Callithrix jacchus: one gene and its partners. The protein of the gene in region 2 purifies or fractionates together with the protein of the main gene of each other region. This does not show direct contact. Links are inferred from orthologs where the notes say so. Each region holds a gene or a part of one and is shown on either strand. Other genes may lie near its edges.

Region 1 (4,974 bases), on a different chromosome or scaffold from region 2:
AATCCAGGTGCCCCCTGCAGGCTGGCCTGGCTACTGCCCCCGCCCCTGCCCCATCCTTACAAGAGGGCAAATTTTGTCTAACTCCATCTTGTCAGAATCAGAGTGCCTCAAAGCAGAGGGACTTCCTTCCTCATCTTATTTCCTTATCTGGGAGCCTCTGGGAGGAAGTACAGCTTCGGGTGTTTCCCAAAGTGTGACATGGTCCCATTGGCAGAACATGACATGATTTTCAGTATGTTTCATTTATCTAGTTACACTGTATTTTAATGTGTATCAGAGAAAATATAACTGGTATAGCAAACCCAAGATTTCATTGATATTATTGTTTAGAAAGAGCTCAAAGTTTACATCTGAAAAGAAGTGAGAAAAATTTTTATTATTTTAAATTAAAGAAAATATGATAAAAGTAAAAATCTGGGAGGCAGCTGAAGAATGTCAGAGTTGGGAAATTCTGGGATTCAGGAAGTTTGCTGGTAGATGGATCTGGATGTGAATCCTGCCTCTGTGACATCACCTATGTCATGGATGTCATTTCTTTCTTCCTTTTTTTTTTTGAGACGGAGTCTTGCTCTGTTGCCAAGCTGGAGTGCAGTGGCACGATCTCAGCTCACTGCAACCTCCATCTCCCAGGTTCAAGCGATTCCCCTGCCTCAGCCTCCCGAGTAGCTGGGACTACAGGCGTGCGCCACCACACCCAGCTTATTTTCTTGTATTTTAGTAGAGACGGGGTTTCACCATGACCAAGATGGTCTCGATCTCCTGATCTCATGATTCACCTGCCTCGGCCTCCCAAAGTGCTGGGATTACAGGCATGAGCCACTGTGCTCGGCCCGTCATGGATGTCATTTATATCAGAGGGCTCCTTTGAAAATCTGGATAACAGCCCGTTATGAAAGTCACCAGAGTAGATGTATCTATCCGCCTGGCCATTTGGCCAGTGGTGCAGCCTAGACGCCCAATAAATAGTAGCTCTATTTCAGTGATCATTCATTCCTGGGTGTCTGACCTGTGCCCTGAGAGAATCAGCGGTTCCTTCCAGAGCCTCTGATCTTTTTCCTGGGATCCTTTTCTTTGTGCGGCTTTCCACCCCCGACCACGTGTCTGATAGCCTTGAAGGTTTCACAGGACTGTCATCTCCCCAACTTCCAGTGGAGCCACCGCAATACATTGCTGCCCGCCTCTACCTTCCACCTCCCAGCTGGCCTCACCTGCTGGGGGCCTGGCTCCTCCCCCTCTGCCTAGTCCCCTCCAAGCTCATGCCCGGACCTTTTTTGGACACCACCCACCTGCTCCTCGGTCATCAAGCACTCAGCTATGGGCACTTCCCTCCCCGGCCCCCTCCCATTGGTGACATGTCAGGCCTCTTCATGGTTGCTCTGTGACTCTGAGTTCTGCTATTTGAATCCATATGGGAATAAAGTTCCCTGGCTTTCATCCCTTTCAGGGAGGGGGCATTCCGAGAACTCAGATGCTGGGGTTTGAGACCCAAAATTGGCCTGCCTTTTCAGTTCCGAACTATTTCTGGGTAATCAGACGGGATCCCAGTCCCTTCCAGCTTTCAGACTGGAGTGAGAACAATTTAAGAGCTGGAAGCACTGGGAATGGGTTTTAAGACCATTTCTGAGGGTATTTCCAGATACAGAATCTCCTCTGGCTGGCTGGAAAAGGCCAACAGCATTTGGGGGCAAGTGGGTAAAACAGGTCTCTCCCTGGCTGAGTGCTGGGAATGATCAGAATCTATTTGTTCCTTGGCAAAACAAATCACTAGACGTCACCCATTACTCTCTTTGACCGCCTCCACCTCCCCAGTGCTCTTTCTGACCATCCCAATTCAAAGCGAACGAACCTCGCTAAACCCAGACACTTTTCATCTCAAGCCAGGAGCGGTGGAAGAAGCCCCAGGGACTGGGTGAATGACGAAGCCTCAGTTGGGAAACAACCATTTATTGAGAGGCCCTCCAAGGAGCCTAAGGCTCACTGCAAGGCAGGAACCGCGAGGGGGCTCTGGCACCGCCCCCTACCCCAACGCAGGAAAGACGACGCAATGAATCCCAACAAGACCAGCTCAAACTTGGCTTTGGAAGCACTTAAGCAGTTCTCTAGGTTCATAAACAGTCTGCTACCCAGCCAGGAACAGACGCTTCCTTGGAGGACGGAGCACAAGCAGAGAAGCAGAGTGACAGAGTGACAGGATGAGAGAGACAGAGGGACCCAGAAAGATCCTGTCCCCCATGCCAAGTGACACAGAAGAAAAAAACAGTGCTGGAGGTGGGCCTGGGAAAAGCTCAGGGGGCAGGGTGGGTTTGGAAGGGGGGCCTGTGCTAAGGTGAAGAGGGGAAGGGCAGGAGAAAGATGGCGGGGGCTGGAGGGGGGAGGGGTGTGGTCACCAAGTGGCCAAGGTCCCTGCGCGGTGGAGGCAGAGAGACCCCATCTCATTCCCAAACTGGCAGAAACCTGGGTCGGGGTCAGGCAGAGGATCCCATGGGAGAGGTGAGTGAGGAAGTGGGGGGGATTAGAATCTGGGGAGAGGGGCCAGGAAAGGAGGGGTAGGCTGGTGTCAGGGCCCCGTGTGGGGCCCCAGCGGTCATACGTGCCATGGTTGGCAGTGACAGCTGGGGGGGAGCACGGTCTTTGCAGTGTGGGGCGGCCCTAGAGGAAGGGGACCCCTACAGGGGGTACTCTGCGGGCCCGTGGGCCCCAGCCTTGGACAGGCCGGGGCAAGGGGCGCTGGGGGGTAGGCAGAGAGGAATGGGGGGGCCTCGTGGGGGGAGGGGCCAGGCGGTGATGGACAAGGCCGGGGCTGGCAGCGCAGGGCCGGGATCGGGGTCACGGCCCGGGCACTCACCGCTCTCCTGCTCGCTGCCCTTCTTGGCGGCGGCGGCGTTGCCCATCGCGGCGGCGGCGGCCGGGGCCGGTCCCGGAGCTGCGGCGTTGCGGGTGCTGGCGGCGGCCGGCGGCCCCGGAGCGCGCTGGGCGGCGGCGGCGGCGGCCCTCGGGCTGGCTGCGCTAGCTGCGGCGCCGCGACCCCCGCCCAGCCCCTGCTTCCCGCGTCTCTCCGCGCCCGCCCGCCCGGGAACCTCAGCCCAAGTCCGCTGCTGCCGTCCGTGACGCCCCCGCAGCCCGCCGCTCATTGGCCTAGGACGCCCTGACTGACGGCTCCGCGCCGTCGTCCATTGGTCATCCCTCGGGAAGGCCGCGCCGCTATAGGCTCTCAGCCTCGTGACGTATACCGGGGACTCTCGGCCATTCACACACTCGCGAGGCCGCAGCTGGGCGGGCAGACGAGTCTGATTGGTCAAGAAGCTGGAAAGGGCCCGGGGTCCGCCCCGCGAGGCCACCGATTGGCGGAGGCGCGCTGTCCCGCAAACCCCCAGTAGAACGCTCAGTGTCAATCCGGGGGTGAGAGGGCGGGGCGGAGGCGCAGTCTGCGGGCCCCGGCCGGCTGGGCGGAGCGGCGGAGGCTGGCGGGCGGCCGCGCAGCACTCGGAGGCTCAGGAGGCGGCTCCGGCGGGCTCCCGGCCGGCCCCGCGCACGCCGCAGTCCCCCGCCCCCGCCCAGTGCGGCAGCGGCTGTCGGCCAGCTGGGGTTGGCGCCGCGGCCTGCCCGGCGCAGCCGCTGTCCACCTGCCAGTGGGGGAGGAGAGCGGCCGGCGCGCGGGTCAGAGGTTGCCCGGTCGCCGCCGGCGTCATTCATAAGGCCTGGCGCTGGGCAGTCGTGGTGGCCAGGCCTGCTTGGGGGCCAGGCCGCGGAGGCTCCTGGGTTTTCCCAGCCGCAGGCAGGAGGATGCCGGCCCCGGCGCAAGGGGTGGCTGAGAGGGGGCGCTCCGTGTCCACCCCTTTGCTGGGCCCCAGTCCTGGGCTCCTGCCAGTAGTAAGAGCTGGCACCTACTTAACGCTCCTTCGCACCATACTCCCATCGCGTAGGTGCTACCATCATCACTCCCATTGCACAGATGAAGAATCTGGGGTACAGCCAGGCAGATTCCCTACTCACATTCCCTGTCTGTTTCCTGTCTGGGCAATGCAAAGGGAACCTGCCCCTTCCTTCGGGATTCTCTTTCAGTACGCACCTAGCCAAGGACAGTCTGGGTTTCCCAACTGCGACACTACTGACAGCGGAGGTGGGGCTGGATCATTCTCTGCTGGGGGGTGTCTTGTGCACCACTAGGTGTTAAACAACATCCCCGCCTCTACCCACTGGGTGCTAGTAGCCCCTCCTATTCCTGCTGGCCGTGGCAACCACCGTCTCCCGACGTTGGTGAATGTGCTCTTGCGGGGCAGAACTGCTCCTGATTGAGAAGCACTGATGAGGAGTGCTTTTTACATTATTTTTTAATATAAAAACATTTTAACATACAAACAGCAATCACAACAGCATCCACATGGCAGCGAGGGGACCGGGGCACTGCCAGGGGACGGGAGAAGGCAGGTCACCTGGACTCGGGAGGGCTAGCTGGGCTCAGAACTACAAGCCCATCTGCTGGTTAGACTTGAACAGCCCACACCCGCAGTCCCAGGCCAACCACAGTTCCGGGGAGGGTCAGGGCCTTTCTATGGATTCCCGGGAAATGGCTGACCACTCCGCCTCTGGATGGTTACATGGTAAGGTTTAGTAAAATTTAACAAAAGCGGTGTTGTTTGCGTGTTAGGATCACGGTGTTTATTTCTTCCTGTGGGTCAAGGGCAAAGTCTGAAAAATCACTGATTATAATCTATATGCAGGACAGCTGGTTTGCTTAAGTTTTGACAAAGAAAAACCTTTCCTGGAATGGAACCTGTCTGGAATACAACTGTAGAACCAATTAAGACTGGAATGGGAAGCTGGGAAGATATGGGACAGCCCACCCACTAAACACGCAAGAGGCCACCTCTGGGGGAGAGTGGACAGTTAGTTGCCTCAGCCCACCCGAGACAAAAGCACAAACATTCTAAACGAAGTGCTTTAAATTTTCAGACCGACCAAATATTTTTTAAT
Region 2 (5,152 bases):
ACATTTTCATAGACATGTTTGCTGAATGAACAAGGTTGACTGAGTTTTGTTTTGTTTTGAGACAGGGTCTCACTTGGTTGCTCAGGCTGGTGTGCAGTGGCACATTAGCAGCTCACAGCAGCCTTGACCTCCTGGGCCCAAGTGATCCCCATCTCATCCTGAGTAACCAGGACTACAGGTGTGCCACCACGCACGCCTAGCTAATTTTTAAATTTTTTTTATCTCCCTATGTTGCCCAGGCTGGTCTCAAACTCTAGGACTCAAGCCATCCTCCTGCCTTGGCCTCACAAAGTCAGCCACTGCACCCAGCCCTGAATTCTTAATTACAACTAAACTTGATGCTTATGGATTTTCCTGCTTTACAACTCTTGTCTCTTTTACCTGTAAATTTAAGATCTTGACAGCTTATATTTGCCTTTGCTTTTGTGTTCCAATAGTTCTATCCTTGGTAAGCCTCTGTGGAAACTACAGAATCTTACAAATATAAAACATTTCCAGAAAAACATCCAAAAATGGACACCTGACATTTATATGCCCTAATATCTTGATCCTGTTGAAGAAAGGAGATGAGCACAGCTGCTTTTCAGTAGTTCTTCACTCCACCTTACTAGGTTCATCTGGATGCTATGCTGTGGGGGACAGACGAGGAAGCTGGGATTGTGAGGGATTCTACTAGACTTTATGGCTGGATCGCCCAGGAATACTCTCATAGGGAGTACTAACCCAAAAGCAAGTCAGCTTCAACTCTAACAGCATCACCTTTCATAAAGTACATGTTAATGCTTTATGTGTACAAATAAATACTTGTGGTATTTTTCACTATGGCAAGCTCCGAAAATGCATGAAGATACGTAACCTAGTCAATCAGGTGGGCAGATGGTGCCTGCACCCTTTGCTGTGACTGAGACTGGAATTGTGAGCAATGTCCTCTCCTGTTCTCCACCCGCCTCCCCACCCCACCACCCCACTTCACTGACAGTGGCGATGTCAAGTAGGCAGCTAGGAATGTCCTAAAGGGAATCATGGGTAACTTGTAAGCTACCTCAACTTATTTTTGTTACTATGTAAAGTATAAGATGGATGGAGCTGGGTTCTTGTGCCTTTCTCACCTTGTCTGCATAGAGATGCAGCTGCTCCTGCAGGTCAAAGTTCTGCGCGAATCACCTCCACCTGCGTACTATTGGGAAACAAAGGTCTGAGAGCCTGTTTGGTGATGAACCACGATGAACTCCTTAACACTCAAGCCACTCCTCAGAAAGTCGGGTTTCTTTCCGTTTCCATTCATATATGTAATTTTCGCTTCAGACAAACAGGACACCTATTCTATGCAGTTTTGAATCCCTCTTTTAAAATGGGATGTCTGCCTTGTCTAAATTTTCTGAGGCGGAGGAGAGGGGAAGTGTAATGGGACCGTCTATAATTTGAAACCCGACCTCACTACTTTGCGTCTCAGAAAACGCGGGGTTCGTTGCCCTGGTCCCCGCGGTCCCCCAACCTTCCGGCTGGCTCTCTCGCCGTCCTCGCCTCGGCGCTGAGGTGGTCAGGCGGCAGGGATTGGCGTCCGGGCGGAGCATGGTGGACTTCCCCGCGGCAGGCAGGCTGCTGCTGCAGGTGGGTCCGGGCGCCCGCACCGCCCCCCACCTCCCGCGGACGCCCCGCCCCTGCCCGCTCGCTCCGCTCGCATTGGTGCTGCGGGCTGTCTGTCCCCGCGCGGTGGGGAGGGGGCGCACTAGGCGGCGGGTTCCGCAGAGGGCGCCTTGCTCCGTGCGCGACCGCGGCTCCCTGGAGGCCTGGGTGCCGGGCCCCGCGAGCGCGCCGCGACCTCAGGAGCAGTGTTGACCAAGGACCCCTGCGCCCTCGGTGAGTGAAGGCAGGGCGGGGAGGCTGCGGGGGAGGAGGGCCGGGGGCAGTGTCAGGTCTGCGGATCGCAGAGTGAGCAGGGGGTGTCCATTGGACACTGGGGATCCGGGCACCCTGAGGTGCTGGGATCGCGGGAGGTGGCTTGTCTGCAGGAATCCGCGGACAGGGCGACCCTCATCAGGTCTGCCCACCTATCTCCTTCGCGTTACAGCTGGTCTTAGAAGCAAGGGTTGCCGGTGGCTTTTTTCCTTCTTTATCCCTTTGGGGAAATGTGATTTTGGGTTTATAGCCATTACATTATAATTCTACAGACAGCTTGAAGCTGGGTTATCTGTTCCACGCCCCCAGCATTTTCCTTTTTGAGTACTTTATCCTGCGCGCTGTCTCCTGCCATAAGGGGCATCAAGCCAGAATTCGAGATTCCTTCCTCCAGGAGGAAGCTTCGTGGTCCATATCTGGTGCTGGGAAGGATACATTGCTTTCCTCGGGTAGTGGTTGCTCTTTGCTGCTCAAGGGAGAAAGGGAAAAAGGGTGTTTTCTGTGACAGGAGACTTGCAATTCTGTCAGGAAATGAGCACAGGGACTTTAAGATTTCCTGAGGCGATAAAGATACCCTTGCTGGTTAAAGGGAAATCATTTGCAGTCTGACATTCTGCAAAGTTTTAATATCTACAGACAGAATTATTTTCCCCCTTTCAATTAAATTTCTGTTTGGGTATTCATTTTATTTCTAGAGTGTATATACATTTAAGTAAGCTTCTCAAACCATTGGCTTTGCACAATCCAGGTTAGTTTCTAAATGATACACTCCTAAACATCTCATTTCAATATTTCTATTATGTGATAATACATCCTCTGCTTAACAAAAATGCTCAGGTGCTGAAAACTCACAAGAGGTGAGAAGATTTAAAGTTATCAGCTGAGGTTCTAGTGCTCACTGCAGCATATAAATGTGAGGAGAAACACTGTCAAATGGTTCATATTTTAGTTCTATCATTGTTCTAGAATGACTTTATCTTTCTCGTAGAGGCATCAAGTATGAAACACCCAACCTAAGGGAATATTTACTTATCATAAACTGATTTTCAGGGTTCCAGTTCCTTCTACAGCTCATAAAATTATGGGTTACCCAAATGAAACTTCAGTGAAGGATTTACATGTAAACAGTATAAAGAATGAGTCCCTTTGCTTATTTTAGGGCGTCCACCCACTAAAATTCATAGGATCTTTGTTAGATAATCACCTCCCATTTCCATTCTTTAGTGCTATCATACCATTCTGTGGATTAAATTTTCAATACACTTTTATATTATCTAACAGTTTGCCAATTGCATAGTTTGTCAACTTATTTTTGGCTTTTAAATTATTTCCTGAACCAAAAAAATAAAATATAAAGAATTTCAAAAGCTTGGTTTTCAAATAACAAGAACTCAGTCTGGTCTTGGTTCAGTTATGAGTTGATTAATGGGTACCTTGTGGTTAAATGACCATTAATCAGTTTTTAAATTTCTTTACTATGAATATACTGCAGATTAGTATCCCCAAAGGATTCATTTTCTAATGAAACTCTTAAAGCCCAGTTTCAGAACATAAGCTTTAAGCAACAAGTAATCTTGTGTTTAATCTGAGCTCTGTTACAGCGATGCCTTAATCTCAGCCAAACTGCTTCATCTGTACCACCTTGGTAATATTGTGGTGAGGAATAGAAATGTATGTAAAGTGTGTGCACTGCCTAATACCCAAGAATTGCTCAATAAATGTCAGCTATTATTACTGACCTCCAACTATGTGCATATTATGGTGGAAACATGATACAGCAGATATAGTACTTAAATCAAAATGTCAAAATTATACAACTAATTTAAGAGTGTAGAATGACAGTAATGCTAAATTTTTCTAAGAGTATGTATGAAAAGTAGCACTTCCTTGATGGAACATACATTTTTAGAACAGAAACCTTATGTTATAATGGAAAAACTAGAGTGTCAAAGTCTCTACTTGTAACTCTGGCTATGACTTTGTCTATCCGCATGGCTTTTGACAAGACAGTTGCTCCCTTTTGGAGCTCAGTTTTGTCATTTGGCTGGATTTGAGTAATCTCAAATAATCTCTAAAGTCCTTTGCAGTTTTAAGTTATTTATTGAGTGTGATAAAAATTACATTAGCTTGCTTTTTATCCTGTACTTCATTTTTGGTTCTTGTTGTTGATTGCTTAACTTGCACTTTAGAATCATAAGCAATTCATACAGACAGCACAACTAAAGAACTGATAATATCAGACTTGCAGAGTAATCCAAAATGAAGTTTCAACAAAGAGGATAAAACAAAATAGAATTACATTGAACTCTTTAATAGGGCCAAAATAAACCCCAGTCTTTATTCTCCAGCCATTTCATTAGTAAATACATGGAAAATATGTCTGGTAGAATCTTATACATTCAACTGAAAAAGTCTCCATAGAAAATAATAGTGAAAAGCCTCATAGTGAAATAAAATATCACTTTCTTTTCTCTCACCAGGTTGATCTTTAAATAAAGCAAAAATTTATCCAGTAAAGGGCTTCCATGAAGAAATTTAAGGAGAGAAATTGCAAGCAATAGAGAAAGTAGGCATTTCTATACTAGAGAAACCACCTAAAACAACTGCATGGAGTAAAATGAAAGGAATGAATACACCTGGAAGAAATTTTACCTAGTGTGACATTTTTGCCCATCTTTTTGTCACAAAAGGCTAAGGAAGAGAGAATATAGTTCTCTAGAGAATAAGAGTACAGTGTGAAAATGGCAACCACAGTTTCAGAAATTCATGTAGAAAACAAGGATGAGAAGAGATCAGCAGAAGGTAGTCCTCAGGCTGAAAGACAGGAGGAAAAAACATCCATGCTTTGCTTCAAGAGAAGAAAGAAAGCAGCTAAAGCATTGAAGCCCAAAGCTGGCTCTGAAGCTGCTGATGTAACAAAGAAGTGTCCCCAAGAAGCAGGAGCTTCTGATCAGCCAGAGCCCCCACGGGGGGCCTGGGCCTCACTCAAACATCTTGTAACACGAAGGAAAAGGTTGGAGTCTTCAAAGCAGCAAAAGCAATTGGAGGCTGAAGTGCAACCTGAAATAAATGCTGAGGATGCTGGTCTTTCTAAGAAAAAGGCAAAATCTAGACTTAAGATTCCCTGCATAAAATTCCAAAGAGGGCCAAAAAGGAGGAATCATTCCAAAATTATAGAAGACTCAGTCTGCAGCATCAAAGTCCAGGGAGAGGCTGAAAATTTGGATATACAAACACAGACCCCATCAAGCGA
Region 3 (3,634 bases), on a different chromosome or scaffold from region 2:
TCACTTTATATGCATGTAAATTGATCATAAAAATGAACCTAGTTTAACTCTTCTTGTGTGTAGTTTTAAGGTAGGTCACTGAAACAGAGGTAAAATCAGATGGGGAAAATTAAAAGCAAAGAAAAAGCAAAACAACTGAGTTAAGCCATGGATTCTCAACAAACACTGAAATAAATGTGCAAAAGTGCTTGAAATTTCCACCTGACAGCAATGTTGTTGAGTCAGTTGGCAAAAAAGGTGTAGGAAAAAAACTAACCTCTCAAATACTAAAATTGTATCTGCACGATCGTTTAGACATTCTGTTTATTGAGAGAAAAGAGGTTAGAAATGATGAACTCTCTGAAAATATCATACCTCAAAATGAAAATGCAATTGTGGCAGTTTGATACACTTTGTTCCCTTTCCTCATTGATGAGGCATGGGATGAAAGCAGAAGTTGCAGCAGTGCCCCTACCCTAGGCTCACAACTATAGTACACCAGAATCATTAGCTGGAAACAACTTCTTTCATTTTTAACGGTTACAAAACAAAACAGTTAACCCTCATTTAAAGATAAGTACCTCTATATTGTTGCAATAATCAAGCCTTTTTTTGACTTTGAAAAGTATAAGTATTTATCCAAACCAATGTTCTTTTTAGTTTGCTTATTTTCCTTTAAAAATTTTATGATGAGAACTATAAAAGAAACTTTAAAACTTTCATTAATCAGGTTCTATTAAAATACTGGCTAAAATCCTTAAGGAACAATTAAGGTTTAGAAAACTTAAACTCTTCTCTAATACCTACAAAAATGCTGGTACCAAGTGAGAGAATCTGAGTGATGATCCATGTCATTAGTTTTTCCTGCTGAATGAGACACATTTGTCACACTACAAAGGCTGGTCACTTCATTGCTCAAGGGGAGGAGGACATAAAAGGAGGGAAAGGGAACTAGAACCTCTGATTTGTAGCAATCCAAATTTCTGGGTCTAGCTGTTTGTATTAGTCTGCCAAAATTTATTGCCAGAATAGTGAATTCCAAGAAAGTTAGTCTTAATTTGTATACATTTCCTTGGTGATAAGACAGTCTTCAAAAATTATCAAGAGTTTTGGCAAAACCAAATCTGAGCTACTCAAAGTAAAAATAATTATTAGAAAGTTTATCTTCAAGCCATTGACCAACAACAATATTGGCATGAACTACTAAAAGCAACACTTATCCTTCCCTTCAAATATCACATAGCCATAACACTGCCCATCTGAAACACCAACAAAATAAAATGGAGCACTGTTTAGAGAAAACAATGAAACTGGAAAAGGAAGAAATGGATGTAGGAGAGGAGAAAGACAACCCAAAGAGAAGTAAGAAAGTGGTCTAGTACTGTGTTATGGCACAGACAATGCTTGCTTAGCGGTGCCTTGTTACATAGGTGGATGCAGAGTGCACACACGGGATGATGGCAATAAAGACCTCACTCAGTTGGAATGAAGGAACTGGGTAACTGCTTCAGCAAGGACGGTCTCAGCTCTACCTTATCTCTCAACAGAGTGCAATCACTGAGTGTGAGCTCGGATGTCATCTTGTTCCTCTTTAAAATTCATCAAATTCTCTTCCACATTTTTCTGTTATAGACACACGGATATCTTCTTCTTCATAGTCATCAAAGTTGCTGGTATCTCCAGAGCCTCTAAACTTTGGTATGAATGGAGCTTCAACCTATTATTGAGAGAGAGAAAAAAAAAGTGCTAAAAGAAGCAGCAAGCAGTAGGTTAGCTATTAACCTCAACATTTTCATTCAAGGAAGTATGCAGGTCAATGAAATACTTAAGAAATTTCTGGGATAATTACCAAAATCCTGGCTCCTAAAGTTATAAAACTTTAGTCCTTCCTTTTTCAGTTCCTTGTTTTTAAAAACCTTATCTTTTTCTATCCCTTTTGTAAAAATTCTTTTCTCCTGAAGTTACAGATAAATCTCAGACTTACTTTTAATTTCTTTCCTTTATTAATTCCCCAGTTTATTTTGTTTAAAATATCTGGCCATCAAAACTTTCTGAGAAGTTGGAAAGAAACATATCTCTTTTAGAATGAGAGAACTGTTAAACTTTAAACAGTTTTCTCCTTTGATCCTGAAACTAAAATGTCTTTCCAATACTTCAATTATGGTCTTCTGTAAAGATTAAATGGGGATACTGAATACATTTGAGGAAAAGATTTTAAAAACTTAAACTTAAAAAAAAATTCACAATTTGCACAGCCTTTATAGAATTTACAAACTACTACAGTTGCTTTATTTTGTTCTCAATACAACACTGTGAGGAAGGAAGGACAGGTGTTCTTACTCCCATTTTACAGATTATAAAAGAGTCAACCAAATTCACATGACTAATAAGTGGCTAAAGCAGGTTTCAAATTCATGATTCTCCACAGCTTTTTAACTTATATCCCTTTCAGTAAAACATTTTCTAGTACATATAATAGATGTAGTTATCTACTTATAAGTTATTTAGGTGCATGACTATGCTATTATATAAGATATACCTACAAATAAGGCATTTAAAAAGAATAAGGTAAAAATAAGCAGGAATGAGACTTCTCATATTATCTTTTTGTTTGACAGCTGGCTGCCTTGCATGCCCTGTTTTGGGGACTGCTGTTTTGCATGCTCCAGAAGAATGAGCTAAGCAGATAGCTGCCTACTGTCTAGCCAGCCAGCAATTTAGAATAACAAATCTATTGGGGCAATCATGTGGAGAAAATGATTGTACAGTTTGAATTGTTCAGGCCACTTCTTTGTTCTGACTTTTTTTCCCCTTGATGCATTTGGAGATGCATCAGAGAACAAAGAAGACAATGAAAACTATTCATATTTACTATGATTTTTGCACTGTTGTGCATAGTTATAATAGTTGAGAAGATATTAAAATAAATGGCTAAATTAAAGTACTCTATTATTTCTATTTGTAAATTATCCAGGGAGCCTTACATCTGTTTCACTGATAATCAAGATTCAGCTGTCAATCAATTTGTCCATTACTACAACCTGTATGTTACAATGTGGTGCTTGTTGGTAGGTTAGCTGTTTATTACCTGGGATAAGTCAAGCCCTTTGAAAAGCACATAAACTCTAAATGAGTAGTGGCAATTTAGTTCTACCCCATTTTAGAAATAATTATTAAAAACTAAACATAATATGAATAGATTAGTAAATAATTGCTATTTGGCAGAAGATTTTATTTCTAAATACAAATATGAAAAGATTCAAATACATTAGAAATCTTTAGAATACTAATAAAGTTGACAAACCTCAAGGAAGTCTAAAAATATACCTCTAAAAAGCATTAATTAACAATAAATAAAATAATAAAGGTAATATGAGTGATGATAGAAAGAAAGGGAAATGGATTTTATTGGAAACATAAATTTCTTAAATTTACTCAAGAAGTAAAAACTTGAAGAGACCAATCTCCAAGAATTAGTTTGTTAAAATTGATAAGGAATAGATATAAGATGATCCTATGTTCCTAAATTTTCTGAAGAATAAATGCATAGAAACTTCCTAAACTCATTTTTATGAATCCCATATAATCCCAGCTTCAGAAAAACAGAAACTATAGATTAATAAAACTTTTGACTATGGAAGTAAAAAGCCCAAAT

The links.
Region 1: the proteins of AKAP5 (region 2) and PRKACA purify together in Homo sapiens (affinity purification with mass spectrometry; 6 studies listed by BioGRID and IntAct, with this or other methods). This does not show direct contact. The link is inferred for Callithrix jacchus from reciprocal best matches to the Homo sapiens genes AKAP5 and PRKACA.
Region 3: the proteins of AKAP5 (region 2) and PRKACB purify together in Homo sapiens (affinity purification with mass spectrometry; 4 studies listed by BioGRID and IntAct, counting the BioPlex papers as one, with this or other methods). This does not show direct contact. The link is inferred for Callithrix jacchus from reciprocal best matches to the Homo sapiens genes AKAP5 and PRKACB.

Annotation. Positions count from the first base shown.
Region 1 is NC_133523.1:12,894,123-12,899,096, forward strand, and holds the start of PRKACA (cAMP-dependent protein kinase catalytic subunit alpha), read right to left. Parts: upstream 3,092-4,974; 5' UTR 2,892-3,091; coding exon 2,846-2,891; intron 1-2,845.
Region 2 is NC_133509.1:99,115,178-99,120,329, forward strand, and holds the start of AKAP5 (A-kinase anchor protein 5), read left to right. Parts: upstream 1-1,747; 5' UTR 1,748-1,860; intron 1,861-4,379; 5' UTR 4,380-4,640; coding exon 4,641-5,152. UniProt on the Homo sapiens protein: Multivalent scaffold protein that anchors the cAMP-dependent protein kinase/PKA to cytoskeletal and/or organelle-associated proteins, targeting the signal carried by cAMP to specific intracellular effectors.
Region 3 is NC_133508.1:121,454,738-121,458,371, reverse strand, and holds part of PRKACB (cAMP-dependent protein kinase catalytic subunit beta), read right to left. Parts: intron 1,697-3,634; coding exon 1,571-1,696; 3' UTR 1-1,570. UniProt on the Homo sapiens protein: Mediates cAMP-dependent signaling triggered by receptor binding to GPCRs.